Kluyveromyces lactis: one gene and its partners. The protein of the gene in region 1 interacts with the protein of each later gene in a pairwise test. Links are inferred from orthologs where the notes say so. Each region holds a gene or a part of one and is shown in the gene's direction. Other genes may lie near its edges.

The links.
Region 2: the proteins of ERG24 (region 1) and ERG26 interact in binary tests that used the Saccharomyces cerevisiae proteins (3 or more experiments, as listed by UniProt). The link is inferred for Kluyveromyces lactis from reciprocal best matches to the Saccharomyces cerevisiae genes ERG24 and ERG26.
Region 3: the proteins of ERG24 (region 1) and ERG2 interact in binary tests that used the Saccharomyces cerevisiae proteins (3 or more experiments, as listed by UniProt). The link is inferred for Kluyveromyces lactis from reciprocal best matches to the Saccharomyces cerevisiae genes ERG24 and ERG2.

What each region holds. Positions count from the first base shown.
Region 1 is NC_006039.1:1,040,539-1,043,711, reverse strand, and holds ERG24 (delta(14)-sterol reductase), read left to right. Parts: upstream 1-1,225; coding exon 1,226-2,551; downstream 2,552-3,173. Other genes in the region: NDJ1 (Ndj1p), read left to right, coding at 1-851; SLI1 (N-acetyltransferase), read right to left, coding at 2,688-3,173. UniProt on the Saccharomyces cerevisiae protein: Delta(14)-sterol reductase; part of the third module of ergosterol biosynthesis pathway that includes the late steps of the pathway. ERG24 reduces the C14=C15 double bond of 4,4-dimethyl-cholesta-8,14,24-trienol to produce 4,4-dimethyl-cholesta-8,24-dienol.
Region 2 is NC_006039.1:1,635,835-1,638,697, reverse strand, and holds ERG26 (sterol-4-alpha-carboxylate 3-dehydrogenase (decarboxylating)), read left to right. Parts: upstream 1-1,208; coding exon 1,209-2,264; downstream 2,265-2,863. Other genes in the region: CORVET complex membrane-binding subunit VPS8, read right to left, coding at 2,311-2,863. UniProt on the Saccharomyces cerevisiae protein: Sterol-4-alpha-carboxylate 3-dehydrogenase; part of the third module of ergosterol biosynthesis pathway that includes the late steps of the pathway.
Region 3 is NC_006042.1:615,199-617,997, reverse strand, and holds ERG2 (C-8 sterol isomerase ERG2), read left to right. Parts: upstream 1-1,550; coding exon 1,551-2,222; downstream 2,223-2,799. Other genes in the region: NRM1 (Nrm1p), read left to right, coding at 411-1,076; CSE2 (Cse2p), read left to right, coding at 2,505-2,799. UniProt on the Saccharomyces cerevisiae protein: C-8 sterol isomerase; part of the third module of ergosterol biosynthesis pathway that includes the late steps of the pathway. ERG2 catalyzes the reaction which results in unsaturation at C-7 in the B ring of sterols and thus converts fecosterol to episterol.

The sequences.
Region 1 (3,173 bases):
TTATCAAAACTTTGAGAACTAGGCTTGCTAGGGAGTCAAGAAATTATAGTCTACTAGTTTGGTTGTTAAATTGTCCAAATATAACCTTAACTCAACGATCGGAACATCAAAAAGAACCATTTCAAGTATTCGAACCACGCCAGAATCGACTTTATCAGCATTATTTGAATATACGACCATTTTCTTATGCTGATGAAAATATTTCAATGGATGCAACGTTGGTGTCAAGTGAATCTCATTGGCCGGATCACTACTCCTATGAGTGCTCAATATTTCCTCGCCTGTTACAAAAGACCAATTACGACCATTTTCAAATGAACAGATTATGTGAAGAGTATCGGCAACAGTTCATTAAAATCATGGAAAATTTCGAAGCTCAAAAACCAAGACATCCTAAATATGCCCAGATTTATCTTCAGCAAAATCTTGGGCTATTGACAAGGGCATACATTCGGGACTTATTCTATGATATTACATTCAAATATTCTGCTTGGTCAAATGCCAAGCGGCTGACAAGAGTGGAGCTTTTGAGGTCTTTACAAAGATATCATAAGGAGTACACCTTCATCATGAGCTGTGATCCGATTGATAATTTCACTGAAAAATTGGACCATTTAACTTGCTTAAATTATGCTTCAAAAGATGAGGTGAATGCCAAACTAACTTACGGAATTTGGATAAATGCAGAGCATGGACTTATACTTCTATGTAACGGTATCGCCCATAGCTGGGACCTTTTACAGATCCCTAGCCATAGCTATCAGAATGACGATAATATTACATTATTTGTGACAAAATATATGCTATTCTGCAATATGAGCGTTCTTGAAACCTGTTTGTGGTTTTTTTAGGTTAATGACATGCCGAGTATCCAGAAAATATAACATTTTTAGTGGATGAACCTGTAATAGCTCGTTTACTGTTCCGACACTGCCAAGGGAGACCTCGCTTATCATTTCAGTGATGACATACCTTACTTCTAATGGAGGTTAGCAATAGAAAAAAACCGGATTAGAGGATTGCCCAATGGTGCGTGTTAAGTAAGCGGTTTACATTCTCAAATAGAACCCTTGCATGTGTTCGTCGTTTAGCAATTTTCGTATTCAAGCATGAACCTTAAAAAAAAGAATAGTATAAAGTAGCGAAAAGTACAGAATTAAGAGAAAGAAGGCTAAATCACTTTTGCATTTAGTATATATTATTATTATAATGCGCTGAATACCCAATGTCCTTAGCAACAATGACAGCTTTAAATCCTAAGACCACTCATTATGAGTTTTCTGGACCGGTCGGAGCCCTTCTGATTTCAGTTTTCTTACCCATTCTAACTGTCATCTTGAACCAGTTGATCAGACCCGACTATCATATCGTAGGGCTATTCAGAAACTTTAGCTGGATCGAAGTTTGGAACAAGGTAAATCCATTATCCAGTTATCTCTTCAATGGTGAGCTTTGGACTTATTACTCTGCATGGTTTTTCTCTCTAGCAGTTTTGGATGTTCTCTTACCAGGCACGAAACTCTACGGTGTCGAGTTGAGAGATGGGTCTAAGCTACCATATAAGATTAACGGAATTGCCGTGTCAATGGCACTTACTTTAGTTTTAGCTGTCAGATATCAATTGACTAATGGTGAAATGCCTGAACTACAGTATTTATTCGAACATCAAACGGACATCTGCATAATATCTATATTGTTTTCTTTCTTGTTGGCTTGCTTCGTCTATATTGGCAGTTTCGTGCCATTATGGGGAACAAATGGCAAAGGAACTAAAGAACGTATTCTTGCTGTGGGGGGCAACAGTGGGAACATTTTGTATGATTGGTTCATTGGAAGAGAGTTGAATCCCAGAATTGGTCCTCTTGACATCAAGATGTTTGCAGAATTAAGACCGGGTATGTTGTTATGGTTTTTGATCAATCTCTCATGCTTACACCACAGCTATAGGGAATCTGGTAAAATTTATGACTCTTTGTTATTGGTAAATGTTCTACAGGGTTTCTATATCTTTGATGGGGTTTTGAATGAGGAAGGGGTGTTGACAATGATGGATATCACTACTGATGGCTTTGGATTCATGCTAGCTTTTGGCGATTTGAGTTTGGTTCCTTTCACTTACTGCTTACAGGCTCGATATTTAGCTGTCTCACCAATTGAGTTTGGCCTGCCCCATAGTACGTTGATTGTTATTATAATGTTACTAGGTTATTGGATTTTCCATTCTGCAAATAAGCAAAAGTCAGATTTCAGACAAGGAAAGCTACCGCAATTAAAATCCATCCAAACTGATAAAGGAACAAAATTATTATGTGATTCTTGGTGGGCTGTTTCCCAGCACATTAATTATTTTGGTGATTTGTTGATTTCTCTGAGTTGGTGTTTGGCCACGGGATTCCAAACCCCACTAACGTATTATTATTTCTTCTACTTTGCTGCATTACTGTTGCATAGACAAAGTAGAGACGAAGAAAAGTGCAGGAATAAGTATGGTGTATTCTGGGAAGAGTATGAAAGAAAAGTACCATACAAAATTGTCCCTTACGTATATTAAATATCCAATTCTACAAGATTCTTATCTGCGCATTCAAACGTTTACATAATAATGCCTATGGCTATGCTAAACTCTGAAAAGTAACTCCGAGTTTTATTGCTAAAGGTAAATATGCATACCAGAGCATCGTTAGAATCTATAAATCCTCAAACAATGGTCTTAAAACTTTGTCAAGGGTTGGAGGATATGAAATATTGACTGTAAGACCACCCAATCTGGTAGAAATTGACGAACAGCATAGTATACTTGATACAAATTTTGGTTGGTGGAACTGAGCATTAAGTAACTGATATTCATCATTAGCAGAAGATGGATCCAAGACACCTAAATTTGATAACTCGAACGCAGTCTCCGGAATGGTTGCAGCATATTTCGACTTAAGAAATTTCGCTACATTGACCTGCTTAAGCAATTTAATATACTCGATCGCAGCTGCGGGATCACTTTTGGATTTTTCTAGTTGTTCTTGAATATTTTGTGCCAGTGACCATTGTTCCAATTCATCTTTAGAAATATCAACTGTACAGGCGGAAACCGAGACATAGTTTCCGACAGCAATTGAGTTTGAATTTTTGTGTAGAACTCTCATGAGGTATGGTCTCATATTCATCGGAATCTGTAT
Region 2 (2,863 bases), about 600 kb from region 1:
AAGTATTATAATCTTCAATATCTGATTCATTCCTACCTAACGTTAACACTCCAAAAATTAAATCAATCTTGAGGCAGACAAGCATGCTAATCGTTTCACAGACATTTTTTTAAATTTTTTTTATTTTCTTTGTTGAGATTATTCTTGTAGATATTATCCTGTCACATTGAGCATATGAATCAAAGCTACTCTTAAAATAACAGAAAGGAAAAGCCATGTATCCGTAAAAAAAAGAGAGGCATTGCTCTAGTGTTTTTTCGGATCTCAGCAAACATAAAAAGATGGCTCCTATCCTTTTTAGAGCTTTAAGCCAATTTCACTTCTTATGCTTAAGCAAAATACCATAAATAAATTAATTTTCGGAAACTAAAATTTTTCAAAACATATATTTTATTTTAAAAAATTCAAAATTCCACATTATTTTAATTAAAATTTTTTCAATATAAAATTAATAAAAAAATATTTTTAATTGCAATAAAGTAAAAGTTTAGAAATTTATTTTATATAAAAAGAGAGAAAATGTAAAATTTGATTTTAGTCACATGATGTTTTATGATTTTACTTAATTTTTGAATACATTACGTACGACAGACTCCACTGTCAAGAAGTTGAGCAGGTACTATAATCTTCGTTCCTGTTTATGCGTTTTTACTATTTATTTGAAGGTAGAACTGTTATTGAATGCTAACATTTGTGTTACTTTTGATTGATTTTAGTGAATTTTGCTTTATTTTATAGAATTTAATTATGTTTTTTGTATTTTTTTGAAGAATTTATTTTAACTTATTTTTTATTATTTTCTGAAAATATTTTTTTTATTTATTCTATTTATTATTTGCCATTATCTAAGGATTCTATTGCATATGGACAATTTGTATGTACAAATGAACTAATTAATTGTATGTTAAAGCAAAAATACAACTCTGGCTTAACAACACTCTAACCACTAACAGATCAAGAAACCTAAATTATTGTGATCATTAAGTATAGGAAAGGAGAAACCAATGGCTATTAATTAGTACGTTATCTTTCTATCCGACCATTTCACAATTTGGGAGACACTTTAAATTTGTCGTTTAGTTCTGTTTTAATATTCAGAAAAAAAAACAATTAGAGAATATTAGTTAACGTTAACACGATATTCAAGATCACACCAGGCAAATCGAATTCTTATCATACGTTGAGTCTACGTAAAACAAACAACTACTATGAGTTCAAGCGATGTTAAATCTGTACTACTAATTGGTGGATCTGGATTTCTAGGTCTCCATTTGATTCAGCAATTTTCTGAACTTAAACCACAACCTCAGATCCATGTTTTTGACGTAAGACCACTTCCAGATCGGATCTCAAAACAATTCACTTTTGATCCTTCGACAATTACCTTCCATCAAGGTGATCTAACGTCACCTGCTGATGTTAGAAAGGCAATTGAGACAAGTGGTGCCACGATCGTCGTTCACTCGGCATCTCCAATGCATGGTAATAGTCAAGAGATTTACGAAAAGGTCAACGTTAAGGGAACAAAAAATCTATTAACTGTCGCAAAACAATGTCGAGTTAAAGCAGTAGTATATACCTCATCTGCTGGTGTTATTTTCAATGGTCAGGACATTCACAATGCTGATGAAACTTGGCCAATTCCAGAAGTTCCAATGGATGGTTATAACGAAACAAAGGCAATTGCGGAAGAAATGGTGCTATCAGCAAACGATCCAGAAAATGACTTCCTAACAATAGCATTACGTCCTGCCGGTATTTTTGGTCCTGGTGATAGACAATTGGTCCCAGGTTTGAGGCAAGTCGCTAAGTTGGGGCAATCAAAGTTTCAAATTGGTGACAATAACAACCTGTTCGACTGGACCTACGCTGGAAACGTTGCAGATGCTCACGTACTAGCCGCACAAAAGCTTCTGAATCCAACTACTGCTGCGCTAGTATCTGGAGAAACATTTTTCATCACCAATGACACACCAACATATTTTTGGGCTTTGGCACGCACGGTTTGGAAGGCAGACGGTCATATTGATAAGAGAGTTATTGTTCTAAATAGACCCATGGCTATTGCTGCGGGGTACCTATCTCAATTCTTCTCTAAATTGTTGGGCAAAGAGCCAGGTTTGACTCCCTTCAGAGTTAAAATCGTTTGTGCCTACCGTTATCACAACATTTCAAAAGCTAAAGAACTTTTAGGATACCAACCAAGGGTTGATATCGAAGAAGGTATCAGAAGAACGTTGGCATGGATGGATGAAGGCTTATAAAGGCCAACTCTATATGAATTGTATATATCTATGTCTATCTATAACTTTACTCATCGTCACAAGTTAAACATTTGAAAGCACCCTCGTGTTGGCCCATGTTTTCTAAACAGGAGCTGTGGAAACTGTGCCCACAACTAAATACAACGAGTGCACTGCTACCACTAGCGGCGACCTCGTGGCATCTCGCTGACTCCCACTGTTCAAAGACTTTATTATCGATTCCAATTCCCCATATTTTCTTGCCACATACTTCACACTCATGAGACTGAATTGCCCAACCATGTTCTTTTCTGTGCATATAGGTTGTAATATCTGATGATGCACTTTGATTGATAATCTGTAAAATAAGAAGTTTCACTGTCTCTTCGACAGAATAAGCTGTGAAAATATTCTTCAACACCACTTTAATATCTTTGATTTTACTCAAGATAAGAGATTTGTTTTCAAATATCTCCATTAGGGTCTTCCAGAAAAAGCTCTCCTCCGAGTTTTCGATATCATTCAGGTTCCCATCTGAAAGCTCAATAAATACTTTCTGCAAACTTTTATCACAAAACGCTTTTTGATCATCGGTAAGAGTTGGGTATTGAGAGACCAAG
Region 3 (2,799 bases), on another chromosome or scaffold:
GGGCAAATTGTAAACAAAGAACCGTCTTTGTTAGTGTTTTCGTTATTGGCCTGAAAGGTAATACGCTGAACACATTTCTTTTTTAGCTCTGTGCACAGTGATATTCCAGAGTGAATAAGTCAGTGATTGACATTTCAACAAACTAAATAAGCAGATCCTAATACAGTTGTTTACATATACTACAGCTGTTAACTGATTTTCCGATTTCCGTTGGTTATTAAACTCACAGTTTAGAAGACAATTGTAAATACTTTGTTAGGATTGTGATATATAATTGACAAGGAAGACCTTTACTCTCTCAAAGATTTGCTATTCATTACAAGAACCAGGAGCTTCACAACACATCATAGAACAGTAGTCGGTTAGGCATTTACAAAGTTACTGTTAGTTTTCGCTGTTTTTCAATTACAATGTCAGTTAGATTACCACTGGGGCAAATATCTAGCTCAAAACTGAACGTATTGAGTCAAGAGAACAAACTTCATCAGGGGAAACGTTCTGTGAGACCACAGCTAAACACTCCTTCTAATAGTCCATCGACAGAATCGTTCAACAATTCAGAAATTTCATTAGCATCAGTCCTAAACACTCAAACTTCATCCAGCCAGTTCTACAGCACACCACCTCAAGCTCTACATGACGTTAAAGAAAGGATAAACAACGAATTAACAGAAAAGAACTCAAAACTGACTGATGAAAATATACTTAGACTTAGATCAAGGGTTCAGCTAGCGTACTATAAGTACAGAACCAAACAAGTGCACCTGAAGTTCTCAGAAATAGTAAGTCGCAAGAAACAGTCAGCTAACAAGATAAGGAAACCCGAAAATGACAGGAAATCCAGAAAGTTGGCTGGATTGAATCCGGCCATAGAAGCTACTTCAAGAACTAATAATAATAACAATGGGACTTCAAACTTGGCAGTGTGCTCGCAACAACACATCCAATGTATCACACCGGAGAAAAGGTACCCGGCAAAACCATACGCATCAACATCCGCGATCTCATCCGGATACACACCGGTATCAGTGAAAGCAGCTAAGTCACTACTACAAATGTTCAGCACAGGTGCTTGAACCAGCAATGAGATCCACCTGTATCATATAATACTCACAATTCACTCTTTTCTACATCTCTCTGTCCCCATCTCGTAAATACAGGCTATATAGATACACATATATATAGTCACATTAATAATGGTCATATGTATTAGTAAAACAAGCTTTAATAATGTAAATCATATAGCTTGTTACTCCAAGACTAAGCTTTCGGTAAGTTTCTTGAATTTCGTACCTTTCTTCAGCTTCTTCTGAGTTTTCAATATAAACGAGTACTGTGTGAAAAATTCAGTCTCGAATGGATTTCCGATGAGCATAAACGACAAAAATTATGGAAAACATCCATATATATATATATATATATAAGGTATGATAAGCGAAAGTGAATTTGGCGATGAGCTACTAATCCAAAGGTTGAGAAAGTGAAATATAACGGAGAGAAATTATCTTTTTGGAGTAAATTGTCTTGTGTTCCGAAACTAGTAATTCGCCATGAAGCTTTTGAAAATTGCACTATTACTAGGTACAGCGTACTATCTGTTGAACAGTTTACTATATACCTGGTTGCCAACCAACTACATTTTTGATGCAAAGACATTGAACGAGATATCCAATTCTGTTATCAGCAAATATGACGCTGAATCCGAAACATTCGATGTTAAGGTGATGCTAAAAGATTTAAGAGATGCATTGGCCAAACATTACGGTGATGACTATATCAACCAATGGGTTGATGAAGAATGGGTGTTCAACAATGCTGGTGGTGCCATGGGTCAAATGATTATCTTGCATGCTAGTATCAGCGAGTATTTGATTATTTTCGGTAGTGCCGTTGGTACTGAAGGTCACACCGGTGTACACTTTGCTGATGACCATTTCACCATTCTTTACGGTGAACAGAGGGCCAGTTTGCCATATAACATGGAACCTGAAATTTACAAACCAGGTCAAACTCATCACTTGAAAAAAGGTTATGCCAAGCAATATTCCATGCCAAGCGGATCCTTTGCTTTGGAATTGGCCCAGGGATGGATTCCAGCCATGCTACCATTTGGATTCCTCGACACTTTCTCAAGTACCTTAGACATCTACACCTTATACAGAACGGTGTATTTGACTGCAAGAGATATGATCAAGAATTTGATCCAAAATCACAAGTTTTGAATTAAAGAAGGAAAGTGCTGAACTTGCTGCCTGTACGTACAATTATATTTAAAGTAGATATTTCCTGCAAGAGCATGTAGTAAAACACACATATTCATTGATATAAGTACTCGGTTCACTTTATATTATCATTGTCAATCTACATAAAATTATCTGTTGGCTATATATCCAAAAAATTAAGGCTTAACGAAATCTTCGAAGACTTCTCAATAATAGTCGAATGGGAACGAGGAATAGTAAAAAAAAAGAAGGCTTCCAACCCATCCCAATCAACGATTTAATATGACCGGTGATACCGAGAAGGAGCAAGAACCTAGTTCCGGGGAACAACAACTAAATGTCTTGAAACGAATTCATGAAATTCTCACGAAACATTCATCAACACAAACTGAATTTATACCACTCCTTTACCATTCTTTGAAACAAATTAGTAAGCATCCAAATAACAGTTCAAATTCGCTGGATGCGGCTACTTCGAGTATAAGGCATCGTTTGAAAACAGCAAAGACTCTACTTCAGCAAGACCCTGCAGCCATTGAGCTAGTCTCAAAGACTCCCGAACAATGGCAACTGCATA